Linked DNA regions of Mus musculus. The protein of the gene in region 3 interacts with the protein of the main gene of each other region in a pairwise test. Links are inferred from orthologs where the notes say so. Each region holds a gene or a part of one and is shown on either strand. Other genes may lie near its edges. The genes, in order: Psmd4, Olfm1 and Egfr.

The links.
Region 1: the proteins of Egfr (region 3) and Psmd4 interact in a protein complementation assay, tested with the Homo sapiens proteins (2 studies listed by BioGRID and IntAct). The link is inferred for Mus musculus from reciprocal best matches to the Homo sapiens genes EGFR and PSMD4.
Region 2: the proteins of Egfr (region 3) and Olfm1 interact in a protein complementation assay, tested with the Homo sapiens proteins (2 studies listed by BioGRID and IntAct). The link is inferred for Mus musculus from reciprocal best matches to the Homo sapiens genes EGFR and OLFM1.

What each region holds. Positions count from the first base shown.
Region 1 is NC_000069.6:95,034,350-95,040,655, forward strand, and holds part of Psmd4 (26S proteasome non-ATPase regulatory subunit 4), read right to left. Parts: intron 2,397-6,306; coding exon 2,256-2,396; exon of another isoform or gene 2,228-2,255; intron 1,576-2,227; coding exon 1,461-1,575; intron 976-1,460; coding exon 889-975; intron 662-888; coding exon 593-661; intron 433-592; coding exon 217-432; intron 1-216. UniProt on the Homo sapiens protein: Component of the 26S proteasome, a multiprotein complex involved in the ATP-dependent degradation of ubiquitinated proteins.
Region 2 is NC_000068.7:28,203,016-28,209,421, reverse strand, and holds the start of Olfm1 (noelin isoform a precursor), read right to left. Parts: upstream 3,734-6,406; 5' UTR 3,473-3,733; coding exon 3,323-3,472; intron 1,345-3,322; coding exon 1,195-1,344; intron 1-1,194. UniProt on the Homo sapiens protein: Contributes to the regulation of axonal growth in the embryonic and adult central nervous system by inhibiting interactions between RTN4R and LINGO1. Inhibits RTN4R-mediated axon growth cone collapse.
Region 3 is NC_000077.6:16,869,476-16,875,781, reverse strand, and holds part of Egfr (epidermal growth factor receptor isoform 1 precursor), read right to left. Parts: intron 4,807-6,306; coding exon 4,690-4,806; intron 4,200-4,689; coding exon 4,073-4,199; intron 3,981-4,072; coding exon 3,907-3,980; intron 2,937-3,906; coding exon 2,846-2,936; intron 823-2,845; coding exon 623-822; intron 1-622. UniProt on the Homo sapiens protein: Receptor tyrosine kinase binding ligands of the EGF family and activating several signaling cascades to convert extracellular cues into appropriate cellular responses.

The DNA.
Region 1 (6,306 bases), on a different chromosome or scaffold from region 3:
CTGTAACACTGACAAGCCCTAGTAGAAAATGGAAGAAGCAAGGCAGAGTCTGTGTTTAATTGGGAAAAATGAAGACACTAGAGTCTTGCATTGGTGCCCTTCAAGGAAGTGAAAAGGGTCTTAGAGAACGGTGGTACGGAAGTGTTCAGGACTGTCTCGTCCCATCAGCTGGGGATCTGTACAGAGAACAGAACCCCAGGGTCAACATTTGCTTACCAGGGCCAATTCAGGATCAGCACTGGGATCTACTCCAAACTCAAAGTCACTGGCACCAAGACCCAGCATGGCACCGCCTTCACCAGCCAGAATAGGAGAACTGATGAGAGCATCAGCCAAGCTAGGTCCAGGAGGCACTGTCACTAGATGGGACCCAGTTCCATCCTTGCCATTCAGTGTGTTCACAAAGGCTGTCAGCTTCTCTGTGTTCACCTCCTGTAGAGCAGAGAGCACAAGACAGACACCTCCTTCACTTACTGCTTCTCAGTCTACGGCTGCAGCCATCTCCAGAGTCCCCGAGGGAGCTCAACTCTATGAAAGGATGGCCGTGTTCATAACGTGGGATCGGATCCTATGCTCTGCAACCCTGACTTACCTCTTCCCCAAAATTAATGATGTCAACATTCACTTTTTCTTTCTTAAGGCGTTTAGCTAGTTTCACCAGCTATGAAGAAAGGGAGAAAAATCAAGAAATTGATTCTCTGTAGTGAGGACTGAATTTGCCTCACAGACGCATACAGAAATTCAGCATCCTACCAAAGGTCTGGCCCCAACACTGACATCACACATCCACCTTTCCCCAGATGACATGCCTAACACCTCTGCCCAGTTCTAAGTACTGCAAGCCACTTCCAAATGGAGGCCTGCCTGGCAGGCTGTCTGTGGACTCACATCCTTCTCGTTGTCCTCCACAGGGCTACCGACAAAGGCGATGATGCGCATCTTGTGATTCTTGCCCTGCCGGTGCTTCAGAGCCAACTTGGAAGGGAAAAGAAGTTCCCGTGAATCCCAGCAGCACATGTCCCTGAGTCAGTCTGCATTTCCTGCTCCTTACAGTACCTATGAACCTCAAGTCTACCATAATGCTCACTCGGTACATGCCTCCTCTTTCTGTTGTGCCTCAAGTGGACCAGAGTGTAAGACCAAGTCTCATCCTGCCCCATCCTTTCTATACTGAGTAAGCACCCTCTAGATCAGTGGCTCCCACCTTGGAGGGGTTGGATGACCGTTTCACAGGGTAGCATATTAGAAATTAACCTTATCATTCATAACAATAGGCAAAATCGTAGTTATGAGTAGCACCAAAACAATTTTACGGCTGGGGTCATCACAGCACGAGGAACTGTATTGAAGGCTGAGAAGCACTGGTCCAGGTCCTCTCGTCTTGCTCTATTCAGCACTAGATCACAGCTCTGGACAGAAAGGATCACAGACCCTCATAGCAGGGAGCCAACAGGACTCACGTGGGCCACGCGGATGCCAGTGCAGAAGGTGATCTTGCCTTTGGGTTGGACAGTGTGGAGCTTGGAGAGGATACGGCCAGTGTCCGGGGTGAGTGTGGTCAGCACCTCACAGTCACTAAATGTGAGCAAAGAATTTTAGTGAGTTCAGACCACACAAGTGCCTCCTAACCATGCCCATTCATCTTCTCCTTTCTTTTTTCCCTCAGAGACAGGGTTTCTCTGTGTAGCCCTGGCTGTCCTGAAATTCACTATGTAGACCAGGCTGGCCTCAAACTCAGAAATCCAATTGTCTCTGCCTCCCGAGTGCTGAGACTAAAGGTGTGTGCCATCTTTTGTTTAGAGACCTTAAAAGCAACTTTTATCTTTTTTTCTGAAGACATGGTTCAGTGGTTAAGAGCACTCACCCAGCACTCACAATCAGCTCTAACTCCAGTCCCAGGGGATGTGAACCCCTTTTCTGACCTTTGTGGGCATTATGCATGACCATGGTGCATAAACATAATACATGTAGGCAAAACATTTATATACATAAAATACAAAGTAAGTCTTAAAAAACAAGGCAAAAAAAAAGGTACATATCAAGTTTGAAGTTAGCCAGGACTACATGAAAACCCGGTGTGGAAAACAAGTCAAAATCAAGACACCCTCCCCCAGCGCAGCAAGCTGTCCTACTCCTGAAGGAGGTGGAACACAGGACTGGATGAGCATAGCCTGTGCTATCAACCAAAGGGCAGTCACCTGCAACCCAACATGGGAGCACCACCCACCTTCACAGCCCCACTGTGTCCCACGTACTTGGCCAGTGTGATCAGGCCCACGTTATTCTCAGGGTTGCTTCGGGTCTTTGAGTGACATACAATGTTGACGGCATCCTGCTGGGCCTGCAGCCGGGTGGGAAGGAAGTCTCCGTTCCGCATGTACTCACTGTTGTCCACACTGTCAGATAAGGAGAAAAGGACACTGGAGGATGCCCTGAAACATCCTCTATAATGGAGGACCCCTTCTACACCTCCTGCCAGACACACGTGGTACAGCGGTGGCTCTCAGGCTTCTTGGAACACAGTGGTGGCACATGCCTTTAATCCCAGCACTTGGGAGGCAGAGACAGATGGATTTCTGAGTTCCAAGGCCAGCCTGGTCTACAGAATGAATTCCAGGACAGCCAGGGCTAAACAGAGAAACTGTCTCGAAAAAAAAAAAAAAAAAACCAAAAAACAAAACAAAAAAAGATTTATTTTATATATGTGAGTACACTATTGCTCTCTTCAGACACACCAGAAGAGGGCATCAGATCCCATTACAGATGGTTGTGAGCGAACCATGTGGTTGCTGGGAATTGAACTCAGAACCTCTGAAAAAGCAGTCAGTGTTCCTAACTGCTGAGCCATCTCTCCAGCCAGGAATTCTTTCCATCTTAAACAGGTGAGGTAGCATACAGCTGTAATACTGGAACTCCGTGTATATAGCTAGGAGGATCTGGAATTCATGGACAGCCTCAAATACATTGTAAGTTTGAGGCCAGCCTGGGCTATGTGAGACCCTATCTCAAAGAAAACAACAACAACAACAAAACCAACCCCAACCAAACTCTACATAATATGAAACATAAACTCCAGCTTCTCGGTTTCCCACCTTTTTTGGTCACACAACCTACCATCTACCATTGAGCCACATTCCTGGTTCAAGACCAACTCTTGGTGACCCATGAGGTCTAGGAGAGTTCTTGCAGCCAGTGGCACTACTTGTGCTAAGGAAAGAGAGCAGTGCCCAGAACAAGATACTTTATTCTACTCCAAAGAAAATCTAGCTCAGAGGTAACTTCTTTCCACCTTATAAAGTTTTATCTAGTAATAAATAGAATCAAAAAATGGTAAGGAAGGGTAATGTACTCAAAAAGCAGAAACAGGATTATCAGGAGTGGGGTGTCAATCAGAGGTCCAAGCTCAGGTTCTCATTCTGCACCTACTTTTTTTTTTTTTTCCGAGACAGGGTTTTTCTCTGTGTAGCCCTGGCTGTCCTGGAACTCACTCTGTAGACCAGGTTGGCCTCAAACTCACGAGATCCGCCTGCCTCTGCCTCCTGAGTCTGCACCTACTTTTAAATCTATCCATTTGTGTGTATGGCTGTTCTGTCTGCTTGTATGTATGGTGCCATGTGCTCACCTACTGCCTATGGAAGGCAGAAGCCGGTGTTGGATTCGCTGGGACTGAAGTTACAGACAATTTGAAACAACTCGTAGATGCTGGGAATTAGAGCCGTGCCCTCTGTAAGAGCAGCCATTGAACATCACTTTCCAGCCCCTGGTTAATTTTTTAATTCTAAGAAAATTGCATGTTTCTCTAAGGTCACTTTTTTATTCTATTACACTTGGGAACTCAGAACAAATATGGGCACATGCTGCTGCCACTTGCATATAGAAGTCAGAGGACAGCTTTTGGGAACTGGGTCTCTCCTCCCAGGGTTCCAGAAACTGAACAGGTCATCAGACTTACAAGGCAAGCACTTTTAGCAGCTGAGCTATCTTGCCAAATTCTGTGTAGTTTTTCTTGTATTCTCTACACGGAGTTGCTTTGAGAATTACATGCATATAAAGCACTGAGCATAGTACCTAATACTTAGCAAAGGTGAACACAGATTACATGTATGATATCCTGGATTTGATCATACAACAAAACAGGAAGCATTCCAGGAGAGTAGTTTAGTGGTGACCCAAACACACATCTGTAAACAAACTATGTGAAGATGCAGCTGATCCACTGGCCATGTCTCTAAGCTCCGCTTTCCTGAAACAGATCCAACTTCTCTTCCAGGAGAGGTGTGGCAGCCTCTCAAACTTCAAATAAAGCTGCGGGTCCATATATAAAACCAGAGGCTTCAAGCACAGTTTGGATGGAACAGCTACTAAGTGCAAGGACTGTACACAAGGACAACGAATAAATAAAGATGGGGAAAGCAGTCAGAATAGGAAAGGTGAAGGGGGTGGGGGGTAGGAGGGAAAGGGAACTGACAATGAGCACTGAGGCTGTGTTGCCCTCGCCATCATTGGGAAGGAGAGTGGTTACTGGTAGAAAAACCACAGGTGCATGTGTTCCTTAAAAAGCCACATTGTCAATGTTAATCCTCCTATTCCAGAGGCAGGAGGATTACAGGAAATTCCTGGCAGGGCTACATAGCAAGATCCTGTTTCAAACAAAACACCACACTGGCCAGCTTTCCCTGTTTCCAGCTTGGTATGAATGGGGTAATGTTACCTGCATTTCTTAGAACTGCTTTCCCTCAGCACCATGGGATTCGCTCTTTCATTCCCCAAATCATAAACTTTTGAGCTTAAGGTATTACCCAAGCTTTCCATGACATCATAATTTTAACACTGAATACTGCTGGGATGAAGTCCTGTGCTGGGGTGCTTCTAGCATGAACAAGGCCCTGCGCTTGATCCTCAATATTGCAAAATCAATTAATCCATCAACACAGGACAGGCAACAGAGCATACCTGTGGCTCAGCTACTTGGGAAGTCAAAAGAGGATTTCTTGAATCCAGAATCTGGGGGCAACAAACTGAGATCCTGTCACTCTGTCCCCTCCCAACCTCTCCCTCAAACTCAGTCTCCCTTAGAAACAGCTTTCTAAGCCGGGTGTGGTGGTGCACGCCTTTAATCCCAGCACTTGGGAGGCAGAGGCAGGAGAAACCCTGTCGAAAGAAAGAAAGAAAGAAAGAAAGAAAGAAAGAAAGAAAGAAAGAAAGAAAGACCAAAAAACCAAAAAAGAAAAGAGACTGCTTTCTGTAACTGAAGACGACACTGAGCTGATCTTCCTGAGTGGACCTCTTCAGTGCTGTGATTACAGGTGTGGACCAGCACATCAGACGCTAGCTAACATCTCTTTATAACAATCAATACAACGGAGTTCGAGTTCTAGAACTCCCTACCTACTGGCCAAATGTAATGCCATGCATTAAAAACTAACAAGAGAATCTGGCTCAGCAGATTAAAGCTAAAGTCAAAACACTTGCATTTTAGAATAGACCCCTACAGAAAACTCTGTTGCCTGGAAATCCAAGACACCTCATAGAAAACAAGAGGGTCTCATTCTGTGGCAATTACACTGACGGCTAAGGTCTCAGGTTCTATTCTTTCCTTTTATGTATAAATCTAATTTTTTTGTTTTTTGCTTTTTTGTTGTTGTTGTTTTTGGTTTTTTCGAGGCAGGGTTTCTCTGTATAGCCCTGGCTGTCCTGGAACTCACTCTGTAGACCAGGCTGGCCTCAACTCAGAAATCCACCTGCCTCTGCCTCCCGAGTGCTGGGATTAAAGGTGTGTGCCACCATGCCTGGCTTTTTTTTGTTTTTTGTTTTTTTTAAACAGGACCTCAATATGCATTCCAAGTTGGCCTTGAACTCATGATCCTTCTGTCTCAACCATCCAGTGTTCTCAACAGGTGTGTACCACATCTGGCCAGATCAATATTCTTAAATCAGTGTCAGTCTGTACAAAGGTCTGACTCCATCACCCTCAGAATCTTCTCACTGGGGTATAGAACAGAGTTCAAGCTCTTCAGTCATTTCTTTCTACAGTGACTCCTCCCACCTTACAACAATCTATGTTAAGGTTCACTCTGGTCTATTTCCCAAACACGGGACTCTTACTTCAGCAACTTTGTAATGACCTCTCCTCAACATGTCTTTTTACAGCTCTTAAATTCTGAGGATTCCCCAAACACCATGCCGCTACAGAGCTCTATACTTTACAGAGCACCATCACATATGGCTTACCTGCTTGTACTATGAGACACAGAGAAGTTACTACAATTCTCCAACAATATGCAAAATGTAAGTGAGAGCCAGGGA
Region 2 (6,406 bases), on a different chromosome or scaffold from region 3:
TCCACCCCTTTGGGGGGGGGGCAGACTCACAGGTACCATGATGGAAATAAGGTCCCAGGTCGCTCCCACACAGGGACTGGCAACAACCTGAGAGTCATCTCAATGCCCAGGCGCTTCCTGCCTTAGCAGCTGAGTCTGCCCAAGGTATTGGAGCCCAGCTGTAGCCCAGCTACAGCTGGGAAGGCTGAGGCCTGGCAGGGATCAGGCTGGGCTCCAAAGCCATTCTGCCTTTGCAAAGATGATTTCTGTTCCCAGGGCTTCTCTTCAAGTTTACAGAGGATGCCTCGCCCCTGCAGATCTCACACAGGTGAGGGCTTGAAAAGTCCAAAGCCAATCAGTAGGGAAAGCCCAGCTTTCTGGGGTGTGTGTGTGTATGCGTGATACGTGATCCACTGTCTCTGAGTAGGAAGGGTTCATGCCTGGAGGCATCTTTTCTTGGGAGAGGGAGTTGGGCAGGGCGGAACAGCCCCTCATTTTCCCTTTTCCCCATGGTAGCACTCCAGGGACCTGTAATAGTGAAGTCAGCTGCAGAATCTGGGGTCCCTGGGGGCAGCCTATAGGTACTCTTGGCAAGAAACAGAATCCCAATAGGAAGATACTGGTTCAGTGATTAGAACCATCTCCCTTTCCAACCAGCTGTGTAGCCTGGGGACATCAAACTGAGGAGTGACCAGTGCCACCAGCTGTGCTCAGGTCTTGTGACAATGAAGTGAGACAAGACTCAGAATGTGTGCATAGAAACATCGCTGCCCTCTTGTTAGGAAGCAACCACTAGGAGCATCCATGCGGGCAGGGGGGACTTGGCAGGTGGGACGGAGACATCCCCACGGACAGCCTGTGTGCCATATATCAGGAACCCACCGTTTCCCTGGCAGCATTGTGGAGCCTTTGGACCAGACCCTGAGCATTGCTCAGAGGAGAGATGGCATGTGACGAAGGAGAGCCATGCTTCTGGCTTTCCCAACAAGCTCCTTCCTAGAGCCCTCAGAGCCCAGGAAGCAGGTGTACTCATCTCCCAACCAGGGCCACCCTTGTCCTCTCTCCATTCTCCTAGCCACTCGGTCATCTGCCCATTCATTCAGTCACAAATGTTTAGAGCGTGGGCCATGCCAGTGAAGGCCCAGCCAAGCCTCAGGCCGCCACACTGCACTCTGCATGTGCAAACTCACACATCAACCCCTTGCACGGACTCACCTTCTCCAGTAGCTGCCTCAGCTGTTTTGTGCGGGCATCCCGCGAACACATGGTCTGCTGGGGGGCGACCACTGTGCAGATACACCTGCCCTCACTGTCCTGGGCAGAGCTGTACACCTGCCAGCTCTCCTCGGGGTTGGTGGGCAACACCTGGAGAAGGGCAGGCAGGGAAGGGCACGAGGAGAGAAAGAGAGAATGTGAGGATGAGGGAGACCTGTACCCAGGTGCTGAGGTCTCAAAGAATTGGAGAGGAACAGTGCCTTAAAATGCATGTTCAACCCTGGGTGCTCAGAGTTTTGACCTCTAACCAAATTAATGCCGGGGGAGGTGGGAGGGGCCGCCGATGCACTAGGTTGGGTGAGGGGGCCATATAAGAAACCAGTAGCTAATGGCTTAGGGAATCAGATACCCTCTTCTTCCAGCAAGATGCTGACGAGCCTTGAGCTCCTGTTCCCTAACACTTGGAGACAAGCACAATTGTTATGAGTCCTGAGTCGGCACCTAAGAACTGAGAGCAGCAACCCTAGAGCTGTGTTGTCTCCCGAACAAAAGCAGCCTGGCTCAGATGTTGATTTCCAACTCCATGAAGCTCCCCCACGCACTAGCCATTTGGTGGATGTCAACAAATATATTGTGTAAGGGTCACCCTTAACCTCAATCCTGAGGGTTTGCCCAAAGACCACCAAGGACCCAGAACTGAGTGGCTGGATTCACCTTGCAGGCCTTCTATACCACCCATGACCCTGACCTTCAGATACACAGCAGGGGCAGAAGCCACCAAGGCTCCTGCATACACACCACCATGACCCCTGCCCTCCAGCCACTGCAGCCTACCCAGTCTCCAAGCCCTTCCCTGGCATCCTGCACTTCCCTGCTATTTTTAGATAAGGATGGGAAGAAGGCAGAGAAGCAGGTAGTGCTATACTTCATTTCATTCATCCAGCTTAGGACACAAGCATCCAAAATCCTTATCAGGGAAACTCATGGTGATATTTTTGTTTGGCTTTTTTTTTTTTTTTTTTTTTTTTGAGACAGAGTCTCATTACGCAGCTCTGAATGTCAGGGAACTCACTCTGTAGACCAGGCTGGCCTCAAACTCACAGAGACCCACCTGCCTCTGGGATTTAAGGAGTGGGACACCACTCCCAGTACCAGGGCACTAGGAAAACTCTTTTTAAAACAACAGGAGAGGCAGACCCTACAAGAGTGATAGATGGTGGTGGTGGTGGTGGTGGGTCACACCACCCAGCTCTTGGGATCAAACTGGAGGAGAATGGTCCCTCACCTGTCCTTTCCACTGAGAAGGTTATGCCAGGGTCCCTTTCCAGTGGCCCCTGACTTAAGGGTGGTCTCTGCTCAGCCTGCTCCATCTATCATGGAAGTCAGCCTTATCCAGACCCTCCACCCAACCCCCAGCCATAGCTCCCCATCCGCAGGCTGCCGATGACATGGAGATTCGATTTCCGTGTCAGAGGCCAGTAGAGAGGGGTGGGTGAAGACAGATCGGCAGCTGGGTCCCGCCCAGCTCCTCTCAACCTCCTCCAGAGTGCACGCTGAGATCTTCCAACCGAGATGAGACCGGAAGGGTCCCTTGGGATTTGGGGGGCTCAGGTGAGATCACAAGCTCTGGTCTTTTGCCTTGGGCCCCACTCTGCACTGGTCCAGTCCGTCTTTTACAAAGTAGGGCGAGCTGAGTCCTGGCTGGACCTAGCCCACAAAGGGTTTTAAGCAGCACCTCCACCCCTTACTTGCTGAGTGACCTTGGCTAAGTCCCCAAGTCCCTAGCTTCAGTTTCCTAAGCTTTGCAAAGAAAGATTTTCTAATATTAGTGAACGAGGACTCTGGACTTTGAACCCCTCCCACCATCACCAAAGCAGGTGTCCTCAAGCCCCTCCGGGGGACTGGGAGCAAAAAGCATCGCCCCGAAACGCCAGAGTGCGAGTGGCGGCCGCAGCTGAAGGCACTGCTTGGCTGCAGGGCAGAGGGTGGGCTCGTGACCCCGGCCCTTGTAACCCTCCCTCCCAGGGTGACCCCATCCTGTGCCGCACCGCCGGGCCAGCCCGGGGCTCGACCCGAGAGGAGGCAGGAGGGAGGAGGGGCCGCGAGGGCTCAAGGCGGGCGCACTTACGCCGGTGCTGCGGTCCAGCGTCCCGCCGCTGGCGGCCGAAAGCCGGGTGGTATTGAGGCCCACCAGCGAGGGCAGCGTCTGGGACATCCAGTTGGTGATCATGGCCATGGTGCTTAGCACGACCCCGATCTTCAGCAGCGGCACCGACATCGCGCCTCGAGTGGCCTCCTGCGCCCGCGCCGCGCCGGCGCCGGCTCCCGCGCCCCGGGCAGCCTCAGGCGGCGGGCACCACGGCGGGCAGGGGCGCCCGGCCGCGTCCCCGCGCCCCCTCTGCCCGCCGCCGCCCGCCGGTCTCTGCCTCCCTGTGCGCACTGGCCATCGCCGCGCCGCCCCGGCGCCGGGAGGTGACCAGGCGGCCCTGCCCGGCGCGCGCTGCCTGCCCGCGCTGCCCGCCGCTGCAGCGTCCCCGCGCGCTCCGCTCTCGAGAAGGGCCACCGGGTTCTGAGCGCGGCGCGGGCTGTGCGCGGGGGCCGCGGCCGGGGGGCGGGGACAAGGCCGGGCGGCGGCCGACGCAATCTGCCCAGGAAATGGGTGGATTTTTCCTCCGAGCTCCGGCTCCGCGACGCCCCCTGGCTGCAGGCAGCGAGGTCTGCAAACCGGTCGGCCGAAGAGTTAGGGTCACCCAGGAGGACGGATAAAACGCCGCCACAAATCGTAAAAAAAAAATATAAAACCTCAAGAATCTCGCATGGCACCCATCCACAGAACACCCCCTCGCCCAGCTCTCTCGGTCACCCTCACGGTTTTGTCTCGCCCAGGCCCGGCCTGCTTGTGGTCAAGGGTCTCCTCCCCTGCTGCTGGGCTTGCCTTCCCTGGTGGACTAAGTCCAGTCAGTTTGGGGTGTCTCCTGAGCCCCAGCAGGAAAGAGTAGCTTGGGTGGAGTCTCCAGTGTCAGCGCAGGAGTAAAGAGGTAGCTACAAAGTGAGAGACACTGCTGGGAACCTTGGACAACTACCTCAGAAGGAGGGGACAGTTGGAAGTCCTAGCGGGGGAACACCCTGGGCTTGTGGGAGCAGGTTTAAACAGAGAGGGACTGGAGGGGGGCGGTATGCCTGCTGTGCACAGTAGAGGATGAAGGAGAGAGAGTGTGCCAACCTACCGTCAGGAGCTGCTGGAAGCATAGGGCTCAGGAGGAACTAGAGGGGCCACACCCATGATTGTGGGGTATGGTACATGCACGGGGGGCGGGGAGGGGCGGGGTTAGAGTATCTGGCGTCTATGCTGTAGGCTTAGATGGACAGGGGTCCCTCGCAGGGACCCAGATCAGGGCCAGGCAAGCTTCAGCAGTATCTGTGCCAAGACTTGTAAGTCTCAGCAAAACAGAACAGCCGGCAAACACAACTTCATAGTGCTTTTGACTTTGAAGCAAGCCCTCTAAGCTGAGGAAAGCCAGTTTCTGCAGGCATTCCTCCAAGTTGTTCCAGTCCCGGGCAGGGAAAGCCAGCCTATTCGCAGCCCCCTACCCCTGCGCTCTTTCCCACCTGGTCAATTATAGACCAGGAAGAGATGTCAGAACAAAGGCAGGCCTCCTGGGGTCTGCCAAGAGGGATATGACATCTTCCGGGGGCTTGTCTCTCTGTGTTCAGTCCTCATTTGCAGAGAAAACGTCAACAGCCAAGATGACCCTGGCCCGAGTGCTGGGCGTGAGCCCTGCTGGCTCAAGAAGTCAATTGGAGTTGTTTCTCTGGTTAATGCATGGCATTCATTGGTGCCTCCAGTTTGGGTCAGATGCCAGCGAATTACAACTGTTAGGGAAGGGCGCCATCTCTCCGTGAAATCTGGTACTGCAGTCCAGTCACACCCAGTGGTCCTGCTGGATGCAGCAGCCGGAGATGCAAGGCTCTCTGCCCTACATCCTCTGCCAGGCATTTTCTGAACAGAATCAGGGCCGTGGCTGTGTCTACTCACTTGCTTCCTACTACACAAAGGTAAGGAGCGCTTAATGTTTATCAACAATTTCAAATCCAGCCCAGTACAGTCCTCAAAGTTCTCAAGGCGTCTCAGGAGTCATACCTTTTATTGAATTCCTACTTAGTGCAAGATACACAGTGCAACATGCTCTAAGCTCTGTGTCAGATGCAGCATAGAGACCATAACTGTCTTTGTTAGGCACACTCCATGGCCAAGCACCATTAAACCTTTCCTGCTCTCTAATGGGCAGAAGTCCCTCCCAGAGGTCAAGTGACCTTGGGGTCAAGGGGAGCTCTGCTATGAACTTGTATGAGACAGTGACCTAGCTAATGAGCTTTATTGAGACTCAGCTCTCTCATTTTTAAAATGGGCTTGACGATAGTAGCTTTCTCCTGTGATGTGTTAAGAGCGTAGGAATAAGACTGGCCTGCTCTGGTGACAGTCATTGTCACCTTTTCAAATGATAAATATGGGTTCAGCCAGCAACCTGTGCAAGGCAGGCTGCGGAGCTGGGCTTTGATATAAGGTGTGATGACCCTGAGCCCTCTGACACACCTCTGGAGCTGCTGTCAGTCAAATATCACAAGCAATGCAAGTATTTCCTCATAAGGAGAGAGGTGGGGATTTATAACCATATAGATATAGCCATATATCCATATAACTATAGTGGTTTCAAAGAGTTCCTGACTCTGTGTTAGGTGAGTGATTTCCACAGGATCCACAATTGCTGCCCTGAATTGGAGGAGTTTAACTTAGCTGGGCTTTTGAAAGGAAATGGAATTCAGAGTTTGAAACAGTGAAGCTTTGGTCTGGTCAAGTAGTCCCAGGAACAAGTAGGTAGCCTTTCGTACCACTGGCCAGGAACTGTCTCCCACCCTCACCTCAACAGGTCACTGTGGAATGACAAAGATTTGACCTCCAGCTCATACTTCTTCTAAGCCTATGTAGGGAGCCAGAGGTTCAAGGCTTCCCTAAGAAATGGATTAGAAGCACTCAACGTAGTTGATCAACTCACATAGAATGCCTCAGAGTGGAACTGGCTGTTGAGAACCAAGCTGACATCGAAGGGCAATCAGTAGGCCAGGTGGAAGGAAATTCTAACCCTACCCACACTGATGCTTGTCGAAACTGGTCACCTCAGAATGTGTCTAAATTGACAGAGAACTGAAGAAA
Region 3 (6,306 bases):
CTCTACATTCCTCCCACAAGCTAGCCCCAAAGGGCTAAGAGCCACATCCTCAAATTCGTCAAAGCCAAGGCTCCTCTGTTTGGCATCCATTTTCTTTACTGCTTTTCTCGTTATTGCAACCAAATACTGGACATGAGCAACTTAAGGAGGGACGGGTTCATTTTGATTTACAGTTAAGGAAGGGGTTCAATCAATCATGACAGGAAAAGCATGCCAACAGAAGTACGAAGAAACAGATGATCTCATTGCAATTATAGGAAGCAGAGAATACACACTAAGTGGAGTCCTCGAGCCTGCCTTCCTCCAGGAAAGATCCACCTTCCAAGGGTCTTACAACCATTCCAAACAGCACAGTTAGCTAGGGACTCAGTGTCCAGACCCATGAGCCTATGAAGGACATTTCACGTTGAAACCCCACAAGGCAAATTCACCCTATGAGATGAGAACATTCTGGAAACAATTCTGATGCTAGCGTTACAATTAGGAATATGCAGATTTTAATTCAATGAAGGAATGAGCAAAAGCAATTAGAATGTTTGGTGAAAACCTCTTCAGTATGTCTTCCAAAACTAAGTTACCTCCGGGAACTATCTGTGCAGGTGAGAGGGGACCAGCTACTTACTGCAGTCTTTCTCAGCTCTGTTGTTCATGATTTTGGTTTTCTGATTGGGTGTCCCGAAGAGTTTTTTCCAGTTTATTGTGTTTGCGTAGCACAAATTTCGGTTTCCAGAAATGATCACATCCCCATCACTGATCTCCTTGAGGGAACGCAGCCCCAGTGATGTGATGTTCAGGCCAACGACCGCCAAAGAAAACTGACCACTAAATGGGAGAGAAGAAAATTGCACTGTTGTGTGATAGCGAAAGCAATGGGCCATCCTCAAATTCAGTTTTTCTGGGCCACTTATGTTTCCTGAATCCTGTGTTCCAGTTATTACTAATCATTCTGCGAAAAGTATGAATCACAACGTTTTAAAAAATGCAAGGGTTTTTTTATAGATTTCTTCAAAGAAAAGACAGTTTCTCATTTGCTTTTTATCTTTAAACTTGGATAAACAGGAGGAGTTAATCAGAGGATTCATGTCATTTCATTTGCTATATTTATAGTTTTCCTAGAAATCAAGAACATGCTTTCTAGCATCTGGCAACATCAAAATGTACTTAAGGTAAATATGAATATCTGTCCATCTGCCTACCACTCAGCTGCCCAGTCATGTTTATTGAGTGAATATCTGTGGTTCCATTTGCAAATACCACACAGGTTAAATATTTGTCTCTTTTACTTAGGGACTCTGTCTAAAGGTGATATAATCACACCGGCAGAGGTTTTTTTTGAGTCCATAGAAATAAATGCAGCGTTAGTGAGGACTGGGTCAGCCATGGGTGAACACTGAAGGAGAGCCATGGAGGAAGAGCATGGAAGGGTGATGTTCAAGTCATGATACCTCATATTTGATTAAATAAGATTCTGCAGATATGTGTCTGGATGAAACTTAGTCAGATAAGAGAGAATGGAGTCCCAAATCACAGGACTCTGCAGGATGTGTGCACTTGGCGAGGGCAGGGAGACAGACTCAGGATCATGGTTGAGGTCAGAGCTCAAATGTATGCCCCTGCTAGGCACAATTTGTCACATGTGACTGATGGAAATGCACATAGAAGCGGTGTGCATTTGTAGGCATCTTCTTGACACTAGCCTCAGGAATGAGCCAGCTGAGCCAGGACAAAAGAAGAGAATGGAAGCTATGGGGTTAAATATCAAAGTTTAAAGTAGTATTTGGCAGACCCTCTTCCTAGTCATGCTTATTCTCATTTCCCCCTTCATGAATTATCTTTCCCCACAGCCTGTTTTCAGGGAAGTGAGGGGTCTGGGTAGGAGATCCACAACCATCACTTACTGGGAATTCTCCCCCAGCGTATGTCCAGAAAAGCCAAGGAGTCAGGGTCTGGCTGGGGTCTTTCCTGCAGGTCAAGTCCCAGCTTTCTGTGAGTCATGTCAGGAACTAGTGGTTATCCCATAGCTTAAATGCTTAAAATTAAGGCTAAGTCTCTTGTGCAGTCGCTTGAAACACGGTGCTAACCTCAGAACGAGAGCATTCCTGAGAATTTAAGAGGAAAGGCAGGAAGCAAAAGCAGTGGCATGCTTAGTATCAGAAGTGCCTATTTAAAGGAGTTTATGGGCAGCAATGTATATTCTGTGTGTATGTGCTTTGACTTGTTAAATATTCCACAATATTAGTGGGATTAGTGATGTTAGTGGTGGTAAATGTCAGAAAAAGCTATCATAATTAGAAAGTTTCCAAGACAGATTTGAGCTACAGATTTCCAGATTTCTTTTCCTCACCACAAATCTTAGGATTTCTCTTACTCTAGGAAAGCTCTTCACCTGTCTCCCATCTTCTCTGTCTCCCTGGTGTGACAAGTTATGTGTCTTCAACTGCCTCATTATCAAATATTAACCAAACACAAACAAGGAGATGCCCTATAAAACACCCAGTCATATTTTCCCAGAGTGTCAAGACAACAAAAATCAGCAAAGATATAGGAGCTGGGAAAGTTTGAAGGGAACTAGGAAGACATCAGACATTAATGCAGTGTGGGATCCTGGAGAGGACAGAAAAGAATGGATGCATTCGTGGAAAATCTGGTAAACTCAGAATGAAGTACATGGTCCAGGGAAGAACATGGCACCTTGTCAAATTATTTATCTTAACTTTCATATCTACTCACATAAGTTGCTCACATTAGGGGAAGCCGAGTAGAAGATCGGTCTTTGTCCTATTTCTGTTTCTTTTGACAATCTTGGGGAAAAAATTCTACTAGGCTTTTGTTATGGCCAACTTACTGTTGCTTTGTTCTGCCACGTATTATTTCTAGGTTCTCGAAAGCATGGAGGTCAGTCCAGTTATCAGGCCAAGCCTGAATCAGCAAAAAGCCTAGAGGGAAGAAGAAAGGCTTAGACTCACACTGTTAGAAATTTCCTTGTTGTAGGAAGCGTGTTCTAGGACTCAGATAAGGCTGCTGTATGGACCGTGGCAGTGGATTCTTCCTGTTCCTATCACCAAGGATGATAGTGCATGTCCTCACACAGGTCCAGGTGATATATATATCATACATACATACATACACACACACACACACACACACACATATATATATTTCATATATATATATATATATTTCATATATATATATATATATATATATATATATATATATATATATATATATATGAAAGAATCCTGTCCTTTCTATGCAACCTAGAGTCCCTGGCTGCCCTTCCCTCAATGCGTAGGCCAACTCCCACCTGAGCAGGTGACAAGTGCTCTGGCTCTGACATCCATAAGGAATATCAGATTATACACCTGGATCCTTTTCTGACTCTTCTCCAGTCTCTTGTTACCATGGTCTCCTTTTAAATATTTTTTTCCATTTAACTCTGATCCTCATATTAATCCTGTTTTTCAGATCAAATTATCTCCCCTTCATAGATGACGAAAATGGCATGCTGGTGGCAGTCATAGACCCAAGACTCCCTGGTGGACAATCTTTTGAAATCTAGTTTGTGAAACTCGAGAGCCTGCACTGCCTGTTAGCGTCAACCTTGTATCTTTTCCTCCATCTTCTCTCTGGGGGTTTTGGGGTCTGTAAGGACGATGGACAGTCTAAGCAGGAAAGAACCGCTCCATGTGTCCACATCAAGTCCAGCATGATTGCAGCAGCCGTGGCTTAAAGTGCTTTCAATTTGCATCAAGGGAAACTGGTTTTTAAAAATGTCTCGAAGAATTACTCATAATGGATAAGCTGCAGACACCACATTCTCATGTCAGGGAAGAAAGGGAAATGTCTGGGAGTCGCTATAAAATTTAATTTCCCATATATGCTCCTGCACACCCGAGTACAAACCTGTTATTTCCTTTACGGTTTTTAGAATTTCTAGTTCTCGTGGGTCTAGAGGAGGAGTGCGCGTGAAAGAATCCCTGAAACAGACAGCAACGTGATTATTGGACACTCTCCGTGGCTTAAAGCAGATTCTACAGTTCTTCATCCAGATGGCTCAGCTGTTACTCACCCCTTAAAGGCCACTGGCAGGATGTGAAGGTCCCCGCTGATGGCAGTGCAGTATTTGAAGTGTTTGATGTTTGTAGCATTTATGGAGAGTGTGTCTTTAAATTCACCAATGCCTATGCCATTACAAACTGTTAAGAGAGATGTGAATTAAGAATGTGAATTAAGAAGGCTGGGTCTGCACAAGCGGAAGCAAGAACCCTGCTACCGTGCACTATTGATTCATCCCAACAACCCTGAGGGGACCCTCCAGGTGCCAGGACTCCTGTGACAGGCTTCGCTGTTCCCTTCAGTCACTGGAGTGGCACTTGGGCTGTCCTTGTCACAGACCTCTGTCAGATTTGAATGTTCTGGCTGTACTGAATCTAGTCACTCACAAAGACATTGGCTCCGCCTCTCTCTGGCTACAACAGTTCACCCACCTGGGCTGCAGGTGGCGCCTCTGTACCTGGTTCAAGAGAACTCCCCCACCTCCACCATGCAATTTGGCTTTGCAAGTTTACCTTCTACTTTCCAGACAAAATAAATATATTTTTTTAAAAAAAGATTAAAAGGTGGGTTTATTTGGAGGTGGCCATAAGAGTTCGGCACAAAGATCAAGAAAAAAACCCTACTGCTTACCTTTGCGACAGGGCCCATCACATTTTTTACACTTGCGGATGCCATCTTCTTCCACTTCGTAGTAGTCAGGCCCACAGGCTCGGACACATGAGCCATGATCTGTCACCACGTAGTTTCCTGAGGAAGAGGCAATGAAAAGAAGGTGTTGAAGGCTACAGCAGGTGCTCCTAACCTTCCACAAACATCCTCATGTCCTGCTGTGTATGGGCTGCTAAAAAGGTCCCTCTTAGTTTGGTTGACTTCTCTTTGAGGAGAAAGACTGACAGATTTCAAGTAGAAGAGGAACCAAGCTCTAGTCTAATGGCTTTTCTGACAGTAATGTGGACAAACACAGATACTTGATCTCAGGTGCAAAACAGCTATGAGAGGAAACACCACCATGCGTGTTCACTGGCTGAAAGCCCCTTGCTGAATATGAATTTCCTCTGACAGGTCTATGCTTAGAATATACAAGGAAACCTAAGATATGTAGTACACACACACTAATGCTTATCAGACAGACCATGTCCCATTGAGGTAACTACAGTTTCTTCTGTTTGATACCAGCTTTGCCCTTCCCCACCCATCCACCATGCAGTTCTTGGTGGGACAACGAGGGGACCAGTTTGTTCTGCTTCCTAGACAGGCGCCCCAATCTTTCTCTCCACTCCCTTCACCTTTATGTAGTCTAACCTAATTAATATTTATGATTACAGTATTACTAGAAACTCTATGCTCCTATTTTGAGTTTCTGAAATACATGCTCAAAATGTGGGCATTGGTACTATATCTGTGAGTCATATGCTCTTGTCATCATAGGTTTTGTTTCCTGCAGAGTTTAAAGATCTGTTACTAAGCCTTCACACAAAGATTCTATCTATGGCATGACTGTCATGAGTTTTTCTTCATCTTAGTTTTCCATTTACCTTATTCTCTAGCTCTCCCTCTTCCTCCCCCTCTCCCTCCCCCTCTCCCTCCCCCTCTCTCTCCCTCTCCCTCTTCCTCCCCTCCCCTCTCTGTGTGTGTTTTCTAATGGGACTTCAATCACCTAAATCTAGGTAGGCAAAATCTCACCCTTATAGTTTCCACTTTACATTTTTTTTTGTCTTAATTTACTTTCTAGAAGTCAAGATTGGTTTTAAGGCTCTTTATGAGTTGTTTCACTTTCTCTGTTTGGGACCGATCTATGTTGCCATTTTCCTATAGGTACCATAGAGTACCATCATACATGAATAAAACTTGAACCCAAATGAGTAAATCAAAGCAAACCCAAAACCAAAATACTCCAAGAGCCCAGCCATAGCCCTAAATTCTTCTCCTCAAGGGGGTGGGTCTGCTGCCTTTTCTAATTTAGGTCTGTTTAATGCAGAGTCAAACAATGCAGAGTCAAACAAAGGTTGTCCCAGAGGGTCACGACCTTGTGTTAGTCAGCTCCAAGACACTCCAGGTTACTGAAGCTTCCTCTCTGACTTGGGGTGAAGCGATAGGTGGTTTGTACTATACAGTCTGGCTGCCAGCAACACTGGATCAGTGCAGGTCAAGCCACCCTTTAAAGGAAGGCATCCTGACTGCTGCAGGCTGCCTCTGCCTCCATTGCTCAGCACTGAGTGGGGTTCTCATCCTTGCACCTGTCCAGGC